Linked DNA regions of Oryctolagus cuniculus. The protein of the gene in region 1 purifies or fractionates together with the protein of each later gene. This does not show direct contact. Links are inferred from orthologs where the notes say so. Each region holds a gene or a part of one and is shown in the gene's direction. Other genes may lie near its edges. The genes, in order: KLC2, KIF5C, KIF5B and KIF5A.

Region 1 (4,696 bases):
GTTGGCTGTCAGGTCGGAGATGACCACGGGGGCCTAACTCCTGGCGGTGCACACGGGGACAGGACGGCGCAGAGGACGTGGGCACCGAGACTGGGTGGGGCTGAAGCCAGGGGCAGGCGGGACCGGGAAGAGGGGCCTCTCTGCAGAAAAACCCTGGACCGTGAAGGCTGGAGAAAGGAGCGGGAGCCGAGGCCAGGGCCCCAGGCGACACGAGCCTGGGAGCTCAGAGCTGGGGAGGGGACAGCGTCAGACGGAGGCCCGGATGGAGAGGGGACAGCATCAGATGGAGGCCCGGATGGAGAGGGGACAGCGTCAGATGGAGGCCTGGATGGAGAGGGGACAGCGTCAGATGGAGGCCTGGCTGGGGAGGGGACAGCGTCAGACGGAGGCCTGGCTGGGGAGGGGACAGCGTCAGACGGAGGCCCGGATGGAGAGGGGACAGCGTCAGACGGAGGCCCGGATGGAGAGGGGACAGCGTCAGATGGAGGCCTGGCTGGGGAGGGGACGGTGTGAGATGGAGGCCTGGATGGAGAGAGGGGACAGCGTCAGATGGAGGCCTGGATGGAGAGAGGGGACAGCGTCAGACGGAGGCCTGGGTGGGGAGGGGACGGCGTCAGATGGGGGCCTCTGCCAAGGTGCCGCAGGCCCCCGCGGCGTTGGGACGTGCTGCCCTCCCCTACCTGGGCGCCCCAGAAAGCAGGGGCCGCTGTGGACGCACAGCACAAGCCAGGATGGCCTTCAGCATCTCAGGGTTCTTTGGCCACTGCTGGCCCTGGGCAGGGACGCTGCGACCCTCGAGAGAGATGGACGGTCACTCGGGAGCACGGCACCCGGCCAGCCCTCCTCCAGGGTCCTCCTGACCCCAGAAGGAAGCAGTCAGGGACCCCCCACCTCCTGCGTTTGAGCCTTGGACTGGGATTGTTTGGGGTGTCGAGGGGAAGCTCCTTGAGGGTGGGAGACCCAAGGCCTGAGGCCCCGCAGCTCCGGCCGGGCAGAACCAGGCCCGGCGCTTCCTGGAGAGCCGCGCTGACGCCTGTCCCGGCCGCCTGCACAGGTGATCCTGGCGCTGTCGAGCCACCTGGGGGCCGTGGAGTCGGAGAAGCAGAAGCTGCGGGCTCAGGTGCGGCGCCTGGTGCAGGAGAACCAGTGGCTGCGGGAGGAGCTGGCGGGGACGCAGCAGAAGCTGCAGCGCAGTGAGCAGGCCGTGGCCCAGCTGGAGGAGGAGAAGCAGCACCTGCTGTTCATGAGCCAGATCCGCAAGCTGGACGAGGACGCCGCGCCCAGCGTGAGCCCCGTGGGGAGTGGGCGGGCGGGCAGCACGGAGCCCCCGCGCCCGCCCCGCCCCGCCCTCACACGCTGTCTGCCCCCCAGGAGGAGAAGGGGGATGCCCCCAAAGACTCTCTGGACGACCTGTTCCCCAACGAGGACGAGCAGAGCCCGGGTGCGCTTGGGCAGTGGCTCTGCATGAACTCCTGGGCCGCGGGACCCCGAGGGCACAGGGAGCAGGGCCGAGCAGCCGGGGTCTTTCCTGCCTCTGACTGGCGTGTCCCAGCGTGCTGGAGCTCCCGGGGTGGGGGGGTCTCCACGGTGCTCCCCTCTCCCTGCTGGAGCTCCCGGGGGTGGGGGTCTCCACAGTGCTCCCCTCTCCCTGCTGGAGCTCCCGGGGGGGTGGGGGTCTCCACAGTGCTCCCCTCTCCCTGCTGGAGCTCCCGGGGGTGGGGGTCTCCACAGTGCTCCCCCCTCCCTGCTGGACCTCCTGGGGGGGTGGGGGTCTCCACAGTGCTCCCCCCTCCCTGCTGGAGCTCCTGGGGGGGTGGGGGTCTCCACAGTGCCCCTCTCTCCCTGTTGGAGCTCCTGGGGGGTGGGGGTCCCCACAGTGCTCCCCTCTCCCTGCCTCCCGGCCCCCGCCCCTCTGAGGAGTACACATCCAGGTAAAAGCGCTGCAGAGCCAGGCCTGGCTTCCTGTCCTGCGGTGTGTGTCACCAGCCCCTGTGTGCGCCCGGGAGTTCCCCCTCTCCCAGCCTGCTCTGTTTGGAGCACAGGTACTCAGCCGCTGTGGGCCAGGCCGCACGGGCTGTCTCCTGGCGCTGAGCATGCCGCAGGTGCAGACCTGAGGCTGAGAGGCTAGGCACTAGCGGTGGGACACACAGCTTCCGCCCAGTTTCCTGTGGGTAACCAGACCTACTCTCCAAATAGGGAAACTGAGGCAGAGTGGCTCGTGGCTTGCCCAGGGCCACGTGTCAGGTGGGGCAAAGCCATTGGCCAGCCCGGCGGGCAGGTGGTACATCTGATCTGTCCTGACCCCGCAGCCCCCAGCCCTGGAGCAGGGGATGTGGCCACCCAGCATGGGGGCTATGAAATCCCGGCACGACTCCGCACGCTGCACAACCTGGTGATCCAGTACGCGTCGCAGGGCCGCTATGAGGTGGCCGTGCCGCTCTGCAAGCAGGCACTCGAGGACCTGGAGAAGACGTCGGGCCACGACCACCCTGACGTGGCCACCATGCTGAACATCCTGGCGCTGGTCTACCGGTGAGGGCCCAGGGTCCTGAGTGGGAGGCGGACGCCCTGCGAGGCGAGCTGCCCGGAGTGCCCGAGCGCCTGGAGGACAGGGGCTGCCCAGGCCCACTCCCGCGCAGCCTGGGGTTGGACGGTGATCCTGACCGTGCCCACCTGCTCCCAGGGACCAGAACAAGTACAAGGAGGCCGCCCACTTGCTCAATGACGCCCTGGCCATCCGTGAGAAGACCCTGGGCAAGGACCACCCCGCCGTGAGTGAGGGTCGGGTCAGGAGGGGCCGCCTCCCATCCCCTGCAGCTCCTGGGTCCCCGCGTCCCTGCCCAGCGGGGCCCTGCGTGAGGAGCCTCCGTCCCCGCGCCTAGGTGGCCGCGACGTTGAACAACCTGGCAGTTCTCTACGGCAAGCGGGGCAAGTACAAGGAGGCCGAGCCGCTGTGCAAACGGGCGCTGGAGATCCGCGAGAAGGTGGGCGCAGGGCGCCGCGGGGCTGGCGAGCAGGGCAGGCAGGGGGCCCGCAGCCCCCGCCCAGCCGCCGGCTCCCTCCCCCCCGCAGGTCCTGGGCAAGTTCCACCCCGACGTGGCGAAGCAGCTCAGCAACCTGGCCTTGCTGTGCCAGAACCAGGGCAAGGCGCAGGAGGTGGAGCACTACTACCGGCGGGCGCTGGAGATCTACGCCGCGCGCCTCGGGCCCGACGACCCCAACGTGGCCAAGACCAAGAACAACCTGGTGCCTCGGGGCGAGGGGCTGGCGGCCGGGCGGGGGCGGGGGCGGGGAGAGGGAGGAGCCTGGGCTCCCCCGCCCCCCGCCGCTCACACCGCCCGCACGCTCGGCCCCGCAGGCGTCCTGCTACCTGAAGCAGGGCAAGTACCAGGACGCCGAGACCCTGTACAAGGAGATCCTCACGCGCGCGCACGAGAAGGAGTTCGGCTCCGTCAACGGTGAGCCCCTGGCGTCCGGCCCTGGACGCCCTGTGCCCCGGGACACAAGCCCCGGCCACACGCCTGTGCCTCGCTCGTCCGTCCAGCGTCCGAGATGGGTGGAGTCTGTTTCCTGGCCGTTCGACAAAGCCGTACCCGGTCCCCCCGCAACCAGGAGAGGCCTGTGTGGCAGGCTGGTGACGGCGTCCTTTCTCCCCAGGGGACAACAAGCCCATCTGGATGCACGCAGAGGAGCGAGAGGAGAGCAAGGTAGATGCAGGCCGGGCGGGCAGGTGTCAGGGAGGGGTGAGGCTGCGCGTGGGAGGAGCCTTCTCCCACCTCCCTGGCCTGCCTTCCCACAGGATAAGCGCCGGGACAGCGCCCCCTACGGGGAGTACGGCAGCTGGTACAAGGCCTGTAAAGTGGACAGGTGAGGGGCCGGGGCCGGCCGGGCGGGGCTGCTGGTGGAGTTGGTGGCAGCGGAATGGCATTGGGTCACCCTGAAACCGCTCCTCTCTGCCGGCTCCCCTGTCCCAGGGAGGTTTTCTGCACTGGCCGCCTGTCGCCCCGGGTCCTGCAGCTTCCGCAGCCCGTGGCAGCGTCCCACGAGGGCCCTGGGGTCAGGACAGCTCTGGGGTGACTCCCTGAGGACCGCAGAAGCCGGGGGGCCTAGCACAAAGCTCGCCACCCAGCGGGGGCTAGTGTGGGCTGGGTGCCGGGGGCCTGGGTTCAGGGAACACGGAGTCTGAGGTGTCCGGCCACCCCACCGCAGCCCCACGGTCAACACCACCCTGCGCAGCTTGGGAGCCCTGTACCGGCGCCAGGGCAAGCTGGAGGCCGCACACACGCTGGAGGACTGTGCCGACCGCAGCCGCAAGCAGGTGGGGCTCCTCGCGAGGGCGGACAGGCGCGTGGGCCTGCGTCTTCCAGCCGGGGCCTGATGCCCCCTGCCCCTCCCCCAGGGCCTGGACCCCGCGAGCCAGACCAAGGTGGTGGAGCTGCTGAAAGACGGCGGTAGCGGGCGGGGAGACCGCCGCGGCCGGGATGTGGCCGGGGGGGCCGGGCCTCGCGCGGAGTCGGACCTCGAGGAGGCAGGGCCTGCGGCCGAGTGGAGCGGGGTGAGTCTGGGGCTGGGGGGCCGGGAGCCGGCGCAGCCGGCGCAGCCTGGAGACAGCCTGGTGCTGTGCCGCAGGACGGCAGCGGCTCCCTGCGGCGCAGCGGCTCCTTCGGGAAGCTCCGCGAAGCCCTGAGGCGGAGCA
Region 2 (5,531 bases), on another chromosome or scaffold:
GCTCATTTGCTGGGCACTACCTTCCCCAGCATAGGCATCTTTTTTTTTTTTTTTTTTTTTTTTTTTTGACAGGCAGAGTGGACAGTGAGAGAGAGAGAGAGACAGAGAAAGGTCTTCCTTTGCCGTTGGTTCACCCTCCAATGGCTGCCGCGGCTGGCGCGCTGCAGCCCACGCACCGCGCTGATCCGATAGCAGGAGCCAGGTACTTCTCCTGGTCTCCCATGGGGTGCAGGGCCCAAGGACTTGGGCCATCCTCCACTGCACTCCCGGGCCACAGCAGAGAGCTGGCCTGGAAGAGGGGCAACCGGGGCAGAATCCGGCACCCCGACTGGGACTAGAACCCGGTGTGCCGGTGCCGCTAGGCGGAGGATTAGCCTAGTGAACCACGGCGCCGGCCAGCATAGGCATCTTAGACAAGCAGCACATATGGTACTAGAGCGGCAGAGGTTCCATGAAAAGGTTAGGTAGGCATAGAAGGATGTGGCCAAATGAAAGTAAGTTCACCAAAAGAGGAAGTTGGAGGGGAGAAACATCTGAGGAGGACATGTGAGCAGTTGAAGGTGCCGACCCTGGGTCAGAAGGTCAGCTTGCTCTGTTTGGTCTCAATGGGTAGACTTGCAGGATTGCTGAGGTTCTTGGGAGGCATAGCTTCTAAAAAATTAGTTCATTTTATTTATTTGAGAGAGAAAGTCAGAGACAAAAAAACAAACAGAAGGCTCCCATCTTTTGGTTCACTGTACAAATGCCCACAGCAGCCTGGACTGTACCAGGCTGAATCTGAGACCCAGCTGGAAGATCAGTCCATTTGTCCCATGTGAGTGGCAGCTTTTTAGGTAGTCGAGCCATCACCTGCTTCTTCCCAGGGTATACATTATTAGGAAGCAGTGTCTTAACCACTAGGGAGGATAGATTTTCATTTGCCATAAGAACTCTGTAATCCTTATGGCTGCCCCAACTAAAGCCTGCTCCTAGAGAGAGAGTGAGTTCACTATCCTGTTGTAGAAGAGGCTCATCTCAGCTCTTTAAGTCTCTTCCACCTGAGGTTCTATGATTCTGTGATCCAGCCTTTTCTCTACCCCAAGAGTGTGTCTGATGATGTTTATATGTGTGGCAGATTTCATAGGTGAGTCTAGACTTTTTTTTTTAAAGATTGATTTATTTATTTGAGAGGCTGAGTTACAGATAGAGAGAGGGAGAGACAGAGAGAAAGGTCTTCCATCTGCTGGTTCACTCCTCAAACAGATGGAGCTGATCTGATCCAAAGCCAAAGTCAGGAGGCAGGAGCTTCCTCCAGGTCTCCCACTGGGTGCAAGGGCCCAAGGACTTGGGCCACCTTCTACTGCTTTCCAAGCCATAGCAGAGAGCTGGATTGGAAGAGGAGCAGTAGGGACTAGAACTGGTGCCCCTATGGAATGCTGATGCTGCAGGCAGATGCTTTACGTACTATACCACAGTGCCAGCCCCAGAGCCTAAACTTGTATACAGTGTGGTCAGACTTCACTTCTTTCCCTCTTGCTTAAAACATGTACACAGGGAAGAGTGTAAGATTGTTTTTAAAAAACAATCTTTATTTTATATACTAGAAAGGCAGTGAGACAGATGGATAGAGAAGGAGATCTCCTATCCACTGGCTCATTCCCCAGTTGCCTATAATAGCCAGAGCTGATCCAGGCCAAAGCTGGGAGTTGAGAACCCAATCCAGGTTTCCGAGATGAATGGAAGAGACCCAAGTACTTGAACCACTACCTGTACTATCTCCCAAGGTCCATGTTAGCAGAGCCTGGGACTGAAACCTAGCCACACTGCTATGGGATAAGGATGTCCCACGCCCTGTTTAACCAGTGTGCCACATGGCTGCCCAATACTGATATGCTTATATCAGTAATATATCTGTTTTGGCAAAAAAGTAGTTCATTCTGTTTCATAAGCTGTTGTTAGTCACGAATTATTCATGACTAATTATTATTCACAGTATACCTTTCGGTTCCTTAATTTAGATCTGCTGCTTCAGAACATTAGCTAACTATGCAGCTCTGTGGTATTAAACACATCCTCATTGTGTGTTAACATCATTTCCATCCATCTATTGCACTTATGCTTTTAGTGTCTTATCCAAGAAATCATTGCCAAATCTGGTGCTATGATTTCCTCAAAGAATCTTATATTTTCCTTTCTGAACCAAACCAGTTTTTGTGTATGGTTTGAGACTTTTATGTGTAAATGTTGCAGCACCATTTGGTGAAAGGACTGTCATTTCCCCCTTGAACTTTTTGGTTACCCTTGATGAAGGTTATTTGACTGATGTGCTGGAGTTTATTTTAGGGCTCTTTATTTTGTTCTGTTCGTCTGTATGTTGGTCTTTTGCTGCTACCACACTGTTCTGATTACTGTTGCTTTGTAGTAACTTTCGAAAGCAGTAACTGTGAGGTGTCCAACCTTGTTCTTACTTTTCAAGATTGTTTTGGCTATTCAAGATCTCTTGAGATTCTGTATGAATCTTAGGAAGGAATTTTCTGTTTCTACAAAAACTGTCACTGAGATTTTGATAGTGTTTGCATTGAACATGTGGGTTATTTTGGATGGTGTTGACATTTTGAAGATTTATTTATTTATTTGAAAGGCACAGTTACAGAGAGAGAGGGACAGACAGAGACAGAGAAAGAGAGAGTGAGAGAGAGATCTTCCATTCACTGGTTCCCTCCCCAAATGGCTGCAACAGCTAGGAGCCAAGAGCTTCGTCTGGGTCTCTCATGTGAGTAGCTGGGGCCCAAGCACTTGGGCATCTTCCGCTGCTTCCCCAGGTACATTAGCAGGGAGCTGAATTGAAAATAGAGCAGCTGGAACATGAACTGGCACCCATATGGGATGCCATTGTCGCAGGAGACTGCTAACCTGCTGTGCTAACACTGGCCTCTGGTGTTGCCATTTTGCCAGAGTAAGTCTTCCAATGTACATGGGATGTCTTCCCATTTATTTGTGTTTTCTTTAATATCTTTTGGCAACATTTCCTAATTTTCAGTGTACAAAACTTTTACCTCCTTTTTTAAGTTTATTCCTAAATATTTTATTATTTTTGTTCCTATTGTAAATGGCATTTTCTTAATTTACTTTTTGGATTATTGTGATATAGAAATGTGAGTGATTTTTTATGTGTTGATTTTGTATGCTTTGTTAAACAGTCCTAACAGTTTCTTAAGAAGGTTTCTTTAGGACTTTTTACATATCTGGTGAGGTGGTTTTGAGCAATGATTGCTGGTGAGGGTTGCATTGTGGGCCTCTGTTTCTGCCTGGTTGACTGGCCAGGGTTTTCAAGGAACTTTATTTCTAGTACTCCATCCTAATGGGGGCATTTTTAATCTTTGAGATCTTCTATGCACTTAACATGAGTTGCAGAAGAGGTGTAGGTCTTAATCCTTCCTTAAGAAAGTCTTAATCCTTCCTTAAGGAAGCTTATACTGTTCCTGATAAGGTCAGGCTTCCATACGTGACTGAGCTAGAATATATCAGGTACTAATCAAGATAATAGCATCTGTGAGATTTAAAGTGAGGCAGGGGAAAAAGCTACATACTGAAGGAGAGTCAGGCTGCGGTAGAATGTGGGCTTCAGGCAGAGCTAGAGTATCTCAAGCTGTTGACCAAGATTTTTAGATGAATTTCTCTGCTACTTGAAGATATGTTAAATCTTGCTTTTCAAGAGTGAGCTTGTTTTTAAGAGGAAACAGTGTGTCTCAGGTGGTTTTCACAACTGACTGGGAAGGCATGATTTATTGCGCTTTTTAGTCGAGAGGTTTGCCATCTCAGTTTATGTGTTTTTTTGTAGCGCAGTAAACTATTTTCCTTTTCAGACATGAATGAACACAGCTCTAGAAGTCACAGTATCTTCCTGATTAATATTAAACAAGAGAATGTGGAGACTGAAAAAAAACTCAGTGGGAAGCTTTATTTGGTTGATTTGGCTGGGAGCGAAAAGGTAATTGGTTCTTTATTTGTGTTATCTATAATTTCCCCTGTTATTTGCTTCAGCGTGCAATGGCGTGGTTTTTATGCCTTTCTATTCCCTATTTTAAAAAGCTTTTTAAGTTTCTGATGTTGTGCCAAGGTGTTATTAAATTTAACCTTTGTTTCCCTGCTCTTTATTTTCTGGTCCTGAAGTTCCCTGTTCATATCACAGGCAGATGCTCTGAATGCTAATGGTGATTTATGCCGAACAGGCCCTGGTGACAACGTTAGTCAAGTGTTGGTCTGAACGTGTCCTGACAAGGACAGCTGTGCCAATGTGGAAGGGGCATGAATGTCTGAGAAAAGGGAAGATGCCCTGTGTACCAGGCTCAGCTAGGCCAGGGAATGGCTTTGCCGTGGGAAGCAGCAGCTCTGCCTCTGTGGCTCTGTTTTGCTGATAAAATCTGTGTAACCTCGGCCTCTTCCTGGTTCTCCTGGCAGTGGGCATGGATTGATCTATCTTCTGAGGGCGGCCTTGGTTCCTTAGGCTGTGAGTCCTGTGCTCATTCTTTTAGCCACAAACCCTGACTGGTCTCTGGTTTTGTCAGGACTTTCTTTTGGCATCTGTACCCCATCCCATGCCTCCCAAGTAGGCTTCCTAGAATCTCCCACCTGCCCCTTACCAGCCTCAATTCTGTAGCACCAATGGAGACTCCTGCTGCCACACCATGGCTGGGGAATCTTTCCCCATTGGGCAACATCTCAGAGCAGATGCACCTGCACAGTGCCTTTTCCTCCCTTGTCACTGCCATCATGCCTTTAGTGGCCATCAGGGTGAGCCTTGAGGTTTGGTCAGTCTCCCTCGCTGTATCATTGACCCCCACTGACCCCCAGTGATGTGCTGCACCACATCACTGAGTTCCCATTTGCCAAGTTATGTCCTCTAGCATCTGTCTAAGTCATAATTCCTTAAGTTTCCCTCCCCTTTGCATTTGTGGGGCTATGAGCAGAAGATCCTTTGGATATTCCTGGTTGGGAGTCCAACATTGTGCTGGTGTGGGCTTGTAGCTTCGAAGTTACAAAGCAGTGCTGTTGTGTTCCCGACTGACTGTTGACGGCTGAAAAGCTTTCCGGCCATGCCATCTATGGGTCGGCGTAAAGAGCCTGATGGCACCTTCATTCTTGCCACGCACAGGGATGAGTACTTAGGGTCCAGATACACCTGAAAACTGCCTCACGCTGGCAGATCATAGTGAAGACCTGCCTCTGCACAGTGTTGCGTTATTGCTAATGATGTGAATTCAAAAGTTCATAGGAAAATGGAATGAAAAGGTAAATTTATTTGGGTGTAAAATATATTTTTTCATGATATGTATTTTCCGTGAACTTTCTGCAGAGCCCCTTGTGTTTCTGAGGGATTTAAAGTGGTAGTGCTGGCATGTTTTCCTTTGTTCACGTTGGTTTTCCTTTGCCTGGATGTGTCCACATGCATGTGCCAGCTCAATCTTGCAGCACAGAGTGCTGAGCTGTTGTTCCCCACTCTGCGACCTGCTATCCTTCCCTGAGGCTGGCAGTCTGATGTCACTGGAGCT
Region 3 (5,996 bases), on another chromosome or scaffold:
TCAAAAACAGAAAATAAGGATCTAAAGAGGATCTAAAGGAGGAAACAATTTTTGTACAGTGTACATGTGTTTCTGCTTTGTTATACAAAAAATCAAAAATTTAAAAGTACATATATAAAGACTAAGAAGCTGTATTAGTGAAGAAAATTTAAAAATATCAATTTAACATGTAGTATTTGCAGTCTACAGCAATGTCTGTTCTAGATCTTCATAATCTTACTCACCACTCACTCACTGACTCACCCAGAGCAACTTCCAGTCCTGCAAGCTCCATTCATGCTAAGTGCTCTATACACTTAAACACTTTTATGTTGCTTTTTTCCCATGTTTAGCTACACAGATACCATTGTGTTATAATTGTCTGCAGTATTCAGTTCAGTAACGTCTATACAAGTCTGTAACCCAGAAGCAACATGCTAAGCCATGTAGCCTAGGTACAGAGAAACCTGTACCATCAAGTCGTGTAAATACACTCTGTGATGTCCACCATGTCATGGTGTATTACTAAATAAAATCTGTCCTTAGCATTTAAACCACTATTGGCTTGATCTTTGACAGACGGCTAATAATGAACTGAAAACAAGGAAAGTATTAAAGACAGGGAGAACAGGCTTATTTGCTTTTTTTTTTTCTTCAATAAAGCTGAAAAAAAGTGAAATCAAAGATGTTGTAAGAAGATGGTGATTGTGGGTAGCATCCAGGTGTTGGATGAAGTTGGACACAATTCAGAGAATAAGTGAACAATTAGTCTTAGGGAGAGACAGTTGTCTTTTTCTGGAACTAGAGATAAAAACGACAGGATCAATTAGATATGATGGGGAAATCAGACGACATAGAATAGGTCGTAAGTGTGAGAAAGCAAAAATGTGATGTTCATTCATCAGCCTGGACCGACAGCTACGATGAAGGCTAACTGCAAGGTGAGGACAGGAAACAGGTACTTCTCTCCGGGACACGTCACATCCATAAAGTCACAATGTCCTTTCCATCAATTTCTTACCCAGAAGCTTTGTTCTTTCGAACCACCGACTATCACAAACTATCGAAATTAAAGCAGTAAGGATAAAACATCCCACTCTTCCCTGAGGAATCTAAGGCACAGGGAAGCAGCCTGGATTCCCAAGCCAGGTGGAAAGCTTCGGAAAAAGCGGTTTCTCCGCATTAATTCTGTGGTGTTCAAGGAAGCAGAACCTCTGCTCCCCTGTAGTTCAGACCCCAGGTTGGTGCCTTCCCTCAAAGCTCTGCTTGGCATGGCGCCTCTTAAACCGCCGCTTCATTTAACTTTTTTTTTTTTTTTTTAACCCAAACTGCGCTTTCCCCAAAGCCCTGTGGTAACCCAGACCCCCTTGCACGGGAGGACCCTTTATGGTATCCATCTTCCACACACGGGGGGCGAAGGCAACTTTGCCATGGTTTCCCCTTCGACCTGTAGTCCACCAGTCTCCCTAGGCCTCCTAAGGCCAGCTCTGCGTTCCAGGCCAGTCACCCCTCCGGAACTGGCACGGACCGGTTCCATCCGTTTCCTCGCGGGAGGTAGGCTCTCGGGTTCCCTGAGGATGCGCCGCCACCTGATGATCCCGGCCCCGGCCTACGCCTTCTTCAGCTGCCTACTTCATCCCTCAGGAGAAACTGCCTTCTGTCTCACTCCTGTCCTCCCAGCCCGCTCTGAGGAGGGAGCAACTGCTTCCACCAGCGAGCCAAGTCCCACCTTCATTTCAAATCTTTCTTCCTGGCAACGCGCTCTTAAAAAAAAAATGGGCCAGGGAATTTTTTTTTTTTTCTTTTCCTCAGACCAAAATGAAAGCGAACTCCTCCTTTCGGGGAATCCGGTATTTCATTGAAACAAGCTACAGCTTTAAGGAGTTACCAACAACGTCTTCGTCTCCCAAAGAAAGCTAAATGGCTCTGGGGAACTCAGCGGCGGTCGGCAAGGCCCCGGTGTCCAGCAGCCCCGCAGCGCGGGAGCTTCCAGGAAAACTTCACTCCGCGACCCCGCCGCGGTGACGGCGCCGCCCCCGGCGCAGCCCGGGCCCCCAGCGCGCGCGCTGATTGGCCGCCGGGGCTCAGCGCGCCTGCGCAGTGCTGGTCCCGCGCCGCCCATCCCACCGCCCGGGCGCCCGTCGGCGGCCTCAGCAGGGATCGGGCGGCTGCCGGCGCACCGGCGAGCGGGCAGACGATTGGGGAGCCTGGTGGGCCCGGCCCGGTGTTCCCGAGGAAAGCAGACCGGGGCCGCTCTCCTGCGCCCTTCTCCCAAGCCTCCGCAGCCCCCGCGGCCCGCGCAGGCCAGCCGGGGAGGAGCCGCGGACACTCTGCCCCGGTGCGGCCGCGGCTGCCATGATGGATCGGAAGTGAGCCTGTGGGCGACTGCTGCCGGCGCTGGCGTTTCGAGTGCCGGCTCCTCGGCCGCGCCTGTCCGGGGAAGTGCCGGCGCGGCCGGCTGCCGACGCTCGCGGCCCTCGGGACCCCAGACCGTCCGCTGCGCCCCGCTGCCTGCAGAACTGAGCGGCGGGGAGTGGCCCCCGGCCTCGGGCCCCGGCTTCCAGGAACATGGCGGACCCGGCCGAGTGCAACATCAAAGTGATGTGTCGCTTCAGACCGCTCAACGAGTCCGAGGTGAACCGCGGCGACAAGTACGTGGCCAAGTTCCAGGGAGAAGACACGGTCCTGATCGCGGTGAGTGAGGGACCCCTGCCCCCAGCTCGCGTCCTGAGCCCCGGGGCCCGGCCGGGTCGGGGGGCAGAGGGAGGTGGCGGGGGTGCGGACCCCGCGACGGAGCCTTGGTGACCCCAGCCGTGCGGGTTCAGGGCACCCAGGGCAGGGAGACGGCGCCGCCCCGCCGGCGTGCCAGGGCCGCCCCCACCCCGGCTTTGGGAGACGGGAGGCGCCCGGGCTCGGTCGGGGACACTCCCCGACCTGGGGCGCCGGAGCAGCCGTGCGGGGAGCGGGTTTGGTGCGTGTTAAGTTTGGGCGTGCGGTCACTCGGGATGGGCTTGGTGATCGCGACTTCTCGGTCTGAAAAGTCCAGCTGCAAAGTGACCTGTGGGGCCGGCCAGCCCTTTTGTGCTGCAAGCCGTGAAGGTACTAGGTTTGTAGGAACGCAGAGCTAGGTGTTGCAGCTGACTGTCTCCGTGGCGGGTTTTACCCGCCCTACAAACGATCGCCCAGCCGCCTTTGGAATGAATGACTTACCACGTTAACAGTTACAAATGGCAAATTGAAGACTGTCCAGAGAAACAGTGGGTTTTCCTCTGCCGCTGATCAGTTTTGGTTAATCTTGTAACAGAGCTAGCTGAGTTCGATGGGGTCAAATAACGTGCTGAGAAAGATCCAGAATCTCACTGTGCTTTTTAACAGGGGGTAACAGACTAGGAAAAAAGCGTTTACTTCATATCAGTGTGTGATTTAAAAAGAAAGATTCTAAAAAAGATAAAATTGACCAGCAGACAGGACTGTAGTTCTTCAGGGTTTAAACTGAAGGTTTGCAAAGTTCACATCTTGAAGACGAAGAGTTGTTAGGTCATTAACAGCTACCAAGTACTTCTGGGTAAAGATGTTAGGCCGGTTCTTTGTTAGCAAGTCCTCTAGAAAAACTCCTGGTATAAATGACATCATGCGAGGTGGAGAAGTCAGGCACAGTAATCCTTTTTCCTTTAGCGTGGTGTATTTTACATGGAATCAGTAGAAGCTTGCAAGGCCTGGATTAGTTGTCAAAACTTGAGGCCACTAGTTTCTTCAGGGTGTTTGTGGTTACTCAGCTTCATCTACAGTTGACTCAACAAACCACTTTTTCCTTTTACGCTGTGTTAAGCTTCTCTTATGGATCCCGATTTCTATGTGTGTATTGACACAAATCTCCAAGTATCACTAAGGTTCTTTAGGATTCACAATGTATTAAGATCGGGGTAGAAGGTAACCTTCTGTTATGGCTCAAATATGACATAAAATGTGAAGAGAGCTAAAAGAGGAAGAGGTAATTACCACAGGAACCATGCATTTAGTTTAGGTTGTTTTCCTTTGGGAAAGGTAAATGTATGAATTCTGTTTTTCAGAATTTCTTCAGTACTGTAAGTACGTTGAAATGATAATGAAAAATAATGGGTAGGTGATTGGTTTGTGATTCAGTAGTCAACAGTTGGTGACTCTGTAGGTAAACTGGTGAGCATTTTAGTCTGGTGTTTTAAAGTGTAAGCAAAAATACATTACAACCTTAAAAATTATAAAGCAACATGTCTAGTTCATTATTTTCAGGAACTGGTTTCTTGTATATAACTACATTAATTGCACAGAAGTCTGGTAAATGAATTAAGAGCAATTAGGAGGAGTGAAATTAAGAAAATCATCTCTTGGTTTGTTTTGTTCATTTTGTTGAATTCTGATCCTGATTCAGACTAAATGGGAGAGAATTGCTGCAATGAAGCATTTAAAACTAAATTATTGTAAACATGATTGAAGAAAATTTTGTACAGTCCTCTAGTTAAGTCAGAATTTAAAGTATTTCAGCTTATGATGTTACTGAATTATCAGTGCTCCTGGAGAAAGTAATTTTTAAGATTTCTGATTCTCTTCTAATTTCAGTTTTTAATATTTTGTCCAAGCTTTGTTCCTGTTAAGTCAGGATATCACATCTTTTGATTAAGTGTTTGGTGAATGCTAAAAATATCACACTGAAATGAAGCAAATGAATATCATGAAAAATTTTAAATGGTACAAATATAACTCACATATTTGCTTTAAATTAGAAAATTTGTTATCCACAAGGCAGGGAGGACAAAGGAAGCAGCTCATGTGGTTCAAGTGAACTTGCTAAAAATACCAGAAAAAAGTCAGGAAGAAAAATGACTGATGTGTATATTTATGCATCATAAAAGTAGTACTTGCTCATTTGATTAAGTATCCTTGCATATCATTGATCCTTATATGGAGTACCATAGAGGTTGGCAGAACTAAAAACAGGCTGCTGTAGTTCATTGATACTAGAAGAGACTAAAACTAATCAGATCATCTTGCTCATTTCCTTGCCTAAAGCAAAACATGATTTGCCATGTCAGGTCAATGAGGATTTGGTGTGGGTGCCCTCTTGATTAAGAATGAAATTGAAAGAGAAGAGGGAACCACCGTCTGTACCCTTACAGCTGTAGAATAGTATCCGCAACCAGTGCGTAAGGAAGGAAAAATTTAACTTACAGTCCCGTGTGAAAAGATCACAATCCAGAATTCCAGACAAAGGCTTGTCCCTGCCAGCAGGGTGTCCTTCATAACCAAATTTGGTGTTCAGCCTGCTGTGTGCAGACTCAAACAGGATCCCTTCACTTAGGAAATCTGAGGTATGGTTGCAGTTCAGATACACTTACTCCTGTTTGGTTTGTTCCCTTGAAGCCTAAGTCAGATGTGAATGCATGTGATTCGGCGTTTGTAAAATTGAAATCGGAAACTTTGGAGTGTTTTTGAAGATACTTAGAATTAAAGGTTGCATAATGTACATTTCAAGGCTGAGAGCCAGATTTTTAAAACAAAGCTGTCCAGATACTGAGTTTTTCGTTTACTTGAAAGATATAGACGTCCCTTGATGATAGGCTATTAGAGATAATTTTTTTGTTTTACAGAGTCTTTTTTAAACAATGATATAACCTCTAAAAATAGTCACTCACTTCCAGCTTATGTTTGTGTGTTATCTTTTAATCATTGTCATTCATTTTATTTTAGTAAGGGTGTGGTGATTACATTTTTTCTGTGAGGTGTTGCTAGAGTAAACAGCTACATAAAGTACTTTTGAGGCACATTGCCCATTATTTCGGGCATGTCTTTGTAAATATGATTTGGAAGCACTTTTTTTATTTTTTACTGATGTGAAAATTAAGGTATGACAACACTCACTAGTGTTACTGTTCTTTAAATGTTTGTTTTAATAAGATTTTTTATTTGACTTATTTTGGAGGGACACTTGTCTTCATTCTTTTACTATTTTCTATTGACTAAATTGTTTCTTGTAAGCAAAA
Region 4 (5,531 bases), on another chromosome or scaffold:
AGTGGGGAGAATTCAGCCAAACAAAGGCTCTGATCCGAGAGGGTCCAACAGAGTCCCCATAGGAATGACGCCCGACCTGCAGCGTCCTGGAAGGCGTGTGGTGGGGGAGGACTGGGGAGAATGGGAGTTGACAGGTATGCACCAGCTCGGAGTTGTGTCCCCAGCTCCAGCCATCTTCTTTCTCTTCCCACCCCTCTCCTCCCAGCATGAGGCCAAGATCCGCTCGCTTACAGAATACATGCAGAGTGTGGAGCTGAAGAAGCGGCACCTGGAGGAGTCCTACGACTCCCTGAGTGACGAGCTGGCCAAGCTGCAGGCCCAGGGTGAGGCCTTCCTCAACTCCGTCCCACCTGTCCTGGCATCTGAGATCCCCCAGGGAAAGTCCCAGACGTCCCCAAAACACCAGCCTGACAGTCCCCCAGAGCCTTAGCCTGAAACCACGGGTGCAGACTCTTGCTAAGAGCCCAGCCAGGCCTTTGCACGTGGCCCATGCACACGAACCATAAACCCTGGGCCTGCCCAGAACAGCCCATCCCCTGCCCAGCCTGAGCTTTGGTCACCACCTGTGGGTCTATCTGGAGGAGATGGGTTTGGTATGAGCTGTCTTTCTCATAGAAACTGTGCATGAGGTGGCCCTGAAGGACAAGGAGCCAGACACCCAGGATGCGGATGAAGTGAAGGTGAGTGCGGGGCTGGGGCTGGGGCCGGGGCTGGGGCCGGGGCCGAGGGTGGCGCAGGAGCAGAGACTTCATGGGGGTGCCTTGGGAGTCCGGCTTTGAGCCTGGAGTGGGGTTATTTGCAGAAGGCTCTGGAGGTGCAGATGGAGAGTCACCGGGAGGCCCATCACCGGCAGCTGGCCCGGCTCCGGGACGAGATCAATGAGAAGCAAAAGACCATTGATGAACTCAAAGAGTAAGGTTCCCGTGGGTGGCCCCAGTCTCCCCCAGGTCCTCCCGTCCTGCGGGGCGCGCTCAGCTGCCCTTCCGGATCTGGTTCTTCCACTCCCACGTGTCGTTCCGTCCACCGTGACACAGCTTTGCAGCCCAGCTGTATCAGGAGATACAGAAGTATGGACTGCTCCCTCCCCTTGAGGCCTGACTGATTGGCGAGCTCAGGGCTGTTTGCTGTGTCACAGAAGCAGTGGCCTGCATTGATGCATCCATTCCAAGTGGCTTCCCTCCTGCAAGGAGGAGAGTGCTTGAAGAGCTTTCTTCCCTTTCCTGCGCGTGAACCTCTGCTTTTCTCCCCGCGGCCCTCACAGCCTGAATCAGAAGCTGCAGCTGGAGCTGGAGAAGCTGCAGGCCGACTATGAGAAGCTGAAGAGCGAAGAGCACGAGAAGAGCGCCAAGCTGCAGGAGCTGACGTGAGTGATGCTCACCCGCGCCCAGCGGGCCCACAGAGGCGGGACGCCTGGGCACCTGGCACACATGGCCACCCACAGGTCAGGGAGGGGCCAAGGAGACTCAGAAGCGACCTGAGTAGTAGCCGGAAGAGGCCTGTGGGTTCTGTTAACTGTGAAAAGCTGGTGTAAGAGCAGTCTGGTATGACCCCATAAAAACCTGCACGTGGGTGCAGGGCCCCAAGGACTTGCTTCATCTTCCACTTCTTTCCCAGGCACATTAGCAGGGAGATGGATTGGAAGTGAAGCAACTGGGACTTGAACCGGTGCTCATACGGGATGCTGGTGTCACAGGCGGCTGCTTAACCCACTACACCATGACACCAGCCCCATCTCTCTCTCTCTTTTTTTTTTTAAAGAGGGATGTTCTTTTTCTCATTTTTTTTTTTTTATTTTCTTGAGAAGCAGAAAGTGAGAGAGAGTTTGCTTCCATATGCTGATTTGCTCCCCAGCTGCTGCTGGGCTGGCCAAAGCTAGAAGCCAGGAGCTCAATCCGGGTCTCCCATGTGGGTGGCTCGGGACCCAGTAGCCCGAGCCATCACTGCTGCTTCCTAAGGTCTGCCTAAGTGGGAAGCTGGAACCAGGAGCTGGATTCAGGAATCAAACCCAGGCTCACTGTGGGACGCAAGTGTCCTCACCCCAGGCTAAATACCCACTCCCTTAGCGCTCTTTTAAAATCCTTTTCTAGTTTTTGTACAGTATCCCTGAGTACTTTGTGCAACACAATGATCAGGGATAAAAGGGGTGGGGGCGGTGAGTGAGGCTTTCTGTGTCCTGCTCTCTCTGCGTCCTCTGCTGCAGATTTCTGTACGAGCGACACGAGCAGTCCAAGCAGGACCTCAAGGGTCTGGAGGAGACAGTTGTGAGTGGCTTCCTTCTGTGCCAAGCAATGGGGTGTGGGGGGCGGGGCTTCGTGACGTCCCCTCTGTTTCTCCCTGACCCCTCTCCCCGTCCAGTCTGTGGCGTAATCAGGACACCCCCCACCCCCTGCCCCTGGAAAGGGTGAGTGACTCCCTTGACTGTGTAGAGCCGAGGTTCCCGTAAGTCTGGAGGGAGGGGGTGGGTGTGGCACCTGGCCAGCCCCAGTGTTTCATGATCCCTTCCAGGCCCGTGAACTCCAGACCCTCCACAACCTTCGCAAGCTGTTCGTTCAAGACGTCACGACTCGAGTCAAGAAAGTGAGTGCCATCCTCGGCCGCGCGCGTGCGCACACACACACCCACCCCTCTCCACGTATCTGCAGCCCCTGCTCTCCCTGGTGGGGCTGGCTGCACCCGCTCTCTGGGGGACCTGCTTGGCCACATCTTTGTCTGTCTCTGATCAGAGTGCAGAAATGGAGCCCGAGGACAGTGGGGGGATTCACTCCCAAAAGCAGAAGATTTCCTTTCTTGAGAACAACCTGGAACAGCTTACAAAGGTTCACAAACAGGTAAGAGTCCGGAGGTGGGGCCAAGACAGTCTTTGAGGCCAGACACCTAGGACACCCAGATCCTTGGAGACCCTGGGTCCAGAAACACCTGGTTGCTTGTTTTCCTGTTCTCTTTTACTTGCCCTACTGATGCGGATGCCGTCTTTGGGCCTTGGCCTTGGCCTTTGCTGCCTGCCTGCTTTCCCTTCTCCGAGTCCCTGACCCAGCCCTGCTCCAAGTGGAGTTCCTCAGACTTGCCTTGGAGAGAGAGGTTGAGGCTGGCAGAGGTCGGAAAGGCTTGGGGGGTGGGGGTGTCTCTGTCACCACACCAGAGGGAAGGCAGGGAGAAAGAGGAAGGGTGAGAACTCCAGCTGCCTAGGCCTGGGCTGGCCTGCAAGGACATTAAGCAGTGTCCTGGAGACGGCCCGGGCAGCGCCTGGCTGGGGCAGGTGAGAGCCTCTGTGTGTTTGGTCGCTGCCTCTCTGCGCCCCTCCTTGCTGCTGTGGCTCTAAGGTGCATGACTGGTGCTCACAGGGGCGGGGTGGGGAGGCAGAGGGCAGTCCAAAGGAGTGAGGACAGGAAGTATTTGGTGTGTACAGAGCAGGTGCACCCTCGCTGCTGCCACGCAGCTGGGCCTTGAAGGCAGGCGCAACAGCCTGGCGAGTGGCTCTTCTAATGAATTCATAAAAGAAGCTCGAGCACGCACTTCAGTTCCGTCCTTGCAAATCCACCTGACAGTTCCATCAGACTCATATTCTCACTAGCCGGGAACTTCAACTTCTCTTCCTCCCAATGTAATGTCTAGCCTATATGGTATGGACTATATATATATATATATATATATATATATATGATTTATTTTATTTATGTGAAAGAGTTACAGAGAGAAGTAGAGACAGAGAGAGAGAAAGAGGTCTTCCATCTGCTGGTTCACTCCCCAAATAGCCACAATGGCTGGAGCTGAGCCAATCTGAATCCAGAAGCCAAGAGCTTCTTCCTGGTCTCCGATGTAGGTGCAGGGGCCCAAGGACTTGGGCCATCCTCCACTGCTTTCCCAGGTACATTAGCAGGGAGCTAGATCAGAAGTGGGGCAGCTGGGACTCAAACCGGCACCCATATGGGATGCTGGTGCTGTAGGCCGGGGCTTTAACCCACTGCGCCACAGCATTGGCCCCCAACAGTAAATATTTAATACATTAAAAATTTTTTTTGTTTGTTTATTTAGAGAGAGGCAGAGGCAGTTAGAGAGAACTCCCATCTGCTTGTTTACTCCCCCAATGCCTTGCAGTGGCTGAGGCTGGGCCAAACCAAAGCCAGTAGCCAGAAATTCAATCTGGGTCTGGCACAGGTTGGGGGATCCAGTTACTCGAGTCAGCGCCCTTGCCTTCCAGAGCCTGCATTAGCAGGAAGCTGGAGTCGAGAGTCAGAAGCCAGGGCTGGGTATGGAACCCAGGCGCTCCCACGTGGGATGAGGGCATCTTAACTGCTAGACTAAACACCACTGCTACTTTTTTCAAAAAATGAAAATATCCCAAACCTGTGTCCCAGGGATGACCTGCAGGCTCTATTTTGATTTGTGTCTGCAGAAGTCTTTACAGCTATTTTTATTTCCTTGACTTATAAAACAGTGCAACAACATTTTTACGGAAACGTTGAAAAAATAGCCAGGAAATGGTTTGTAATCAGTTCTGCCATTCTGTTCTCCCCACTGTGTGTTCACCATCCCTCTCTGTGCAAATGCCGATTGTCAGAGGAGAGGTGCACAGAAAGGCTCCCAGCTCCGCCCCTTTACTGCTCTGCTGGCTTCCCCTGTGTCTGCCAAGGCCCAGCACCTCCTGCAGTCTTGGTGCTCCCAGTCCTTGTGGGGAGCCCTGTGAAAGAGCAAGAAATCTTTGCTCGCTGCAAAGGTAGCAGCTGCTCCCTCGCTCTGGCTTCATTCAGATGGGGGTAGGACAGCCCAGGAAGTCTTGGAATGAGAAGGTAGTGAGCAGAAATGTGAGAACGACTCTGTGTGTGTGTGTATGTGTGTGTGTGTGTGTGTGTGTGTGTGTGTGTGTGTGTGTGGCAGGGGAGTGGGGTGGAGGAGGGGTCTGAATTCCGGCTTCTGCTCCTGCTCTGCACCTGACCGGCACCCATTCGTAGTGCCATCACCACCTCCACGCTGCGACTCCTTGCACTGCCCCATGCGTGCTCACAAAGCCATCCCCGGGGCGGGGTCGTCGGCTGGTCCCCATGGTTGCCCTGCAGTTGTTGATCCAGCACATGCTGTGGCATTTGTTGAAGGGAAATGTCCAGCCCAGACAGTGGAGAGGGCAGGTTTTGCTGCCTAGAGAACAGAACTTTGTAACGCATGACTGCCCCTTGCTCAGAGAGAAGTGGGCAGGACAGTACGCTATGCCAAGGGACCTGGTGTCCGTCTTCTCTGGCTTCGAGATCTTTCTTCTCTCTCCCCATCCCTCACCCCGTGCTCTTCCCTTTGGCAGCTGGTACGTGACAATGCAGATCTGCGTTGTGAGCTTCCTAAATTGGAAAAACGACTTAGGGCTACGGCTGAGAGAGTTAAGGCCCTGGAGGGTGCACTGAAGGAGGCCAAGGAAGGCGCCATGAAAGACAAGCGGCGCTACCAGCAGGAGGTGGACCGCATCAAGGAGGCCGTGCGCTACAAGAGCTCCGGCAAGCGGGGCCACTCGGCGCAGATCGGTGAGTGGCGGCCCTAACACCTGG

Evidence for each region.
Region 2: the proteins of KLC2 (region 1) and KIF5C purify together in Homo sapiens (affinity purification with western blotting; 3 studies listed by BioGRID and IntAct, with this or other methods). This does not show direct contact. The link is inferred for Oryctolagus cuniculus from reciprocal best matches to the Homo sapiens genes KLC2 and KIF5C.
Region 3: the proteins of KLC2 (region 1) and KIF5B fractionate together in Homo sapiens (co-fractionation; 7 studies listed by BioGRID and IntAct, with this or other methods). This does not show direct contact. The link is inferred for Oryctolagus cuniculus from reciprocal best matches to the Homo sapiens genes KLC2 and KIF5B.
Region 4: the proteins of KLC2 (region 1) and KIF5A purify together in Homo sapiens (affinity purification with western blotting; 3 studies listed by BioGRID and IntAct, with this or other methods). This does not show direct contact. The link is inferred for Oryctolagus cuniculus from reciprocal best matches to the Homo sapiens genes KLC2 and KIF5A.

The regions. Positions count from the first base shown.
Region 1 is NC_091432.1:5,579,234-5,583,929, reverse strand, and holds part of KLC2 (kinesin light chain 2), read left to right. Parts: intron 1-1,054; coding exon 1,055-1,285; intron 1,286-1,371; coding exon 1,372-1,441; intron 1,442-2,309; coding exon 2,310-2,532; intron 2,533-2,683; coding exon 2,684-2,771; intron 2,772-2,882; coding exon 2,883-2,984; intron 2,985-3,072; coding exon 3,073-3,246; intron 3,247-3,358; coding exon 3,359-3,458; intron 3,459-3,657; coding exon 3,658-3,707; intron 3,708-3,799; coding exon 3,800-3,867; intron 3,868-4,209; coding exon 4,210-4,318; intron 4,319-4,399; coding exon 4,400-4,555; intron 4,556-4,611; coding exon 4,612-4,696. UniProt on the Homo sapiens protein: Kinesin is a microtubule-associated force-producing protein that plays a role in organelle transport. The light chain functions in coupling of cargo to the heavy chain or in the modulation of its ATPase activity.
Region 2 is NC_091434.1:93,304,630-93,310,160, reverse strand, and holds part of KIF5C (kinesin heavy chain), read left to right. Parts: intron 1-3,845; coding exon 3,846-3,970; intron 3,971-5,531. UniProt on the Homo sapiens protein: Microtubule-associated force-producing protein that may play a role in organelle transport. Has ATPase activity. Involved in synaptic transmission. Mediates dendritic trafficking of mRNAs.
Region 3 is NC_091444.1:102,483,434-102,489,429, reverse strand, and holds the start of KIF5B (kinesin-1 heavy chain), read left to right. Parts: upstream 1-2,076; 5' UTR 2,077-2,547; coding exon 2,548-2,673; intron 2,674-5,996. UniProt on the Homo sapiens protein: Microtubule-dependent motor required for normal distribution of mitochondria and lysosomes. Can induce formation of neurite-like membrane protrusions in non-neuronal cells in a ZFYVE27-dependent manner.
Region 4 is NC_091442.1:60,182,016-60,187,546, forward strand, and holds part of KIF5A (kinesin heavy chain), read left to right. Parts: intron 1-205; coding exon 206-323; intron 324-615; coding exon 616-680; intron 681-802; coding exon 803-912; intron 913-1,261; coding exon 1,262-1,363; intron 1,364-2,200; coding exon 2,201-2,261; intron 2,262-2,505; coding exon 2,506-2,577; intron 2,578-2,723; coding exon 2,724-2,828; intron 2,829-5,290; coding exon 5,291-5,507; intron 5,508-5,531. UniProt on the Homo sapiens protein: Microtubule-dependent motor required for slow axonal transport of neurofilament proteins (NFH, NFM and NFL). Can induce formation of neurite-like membrane protrusions in non-neuronal cells in a ZFYVE27-dependent manner.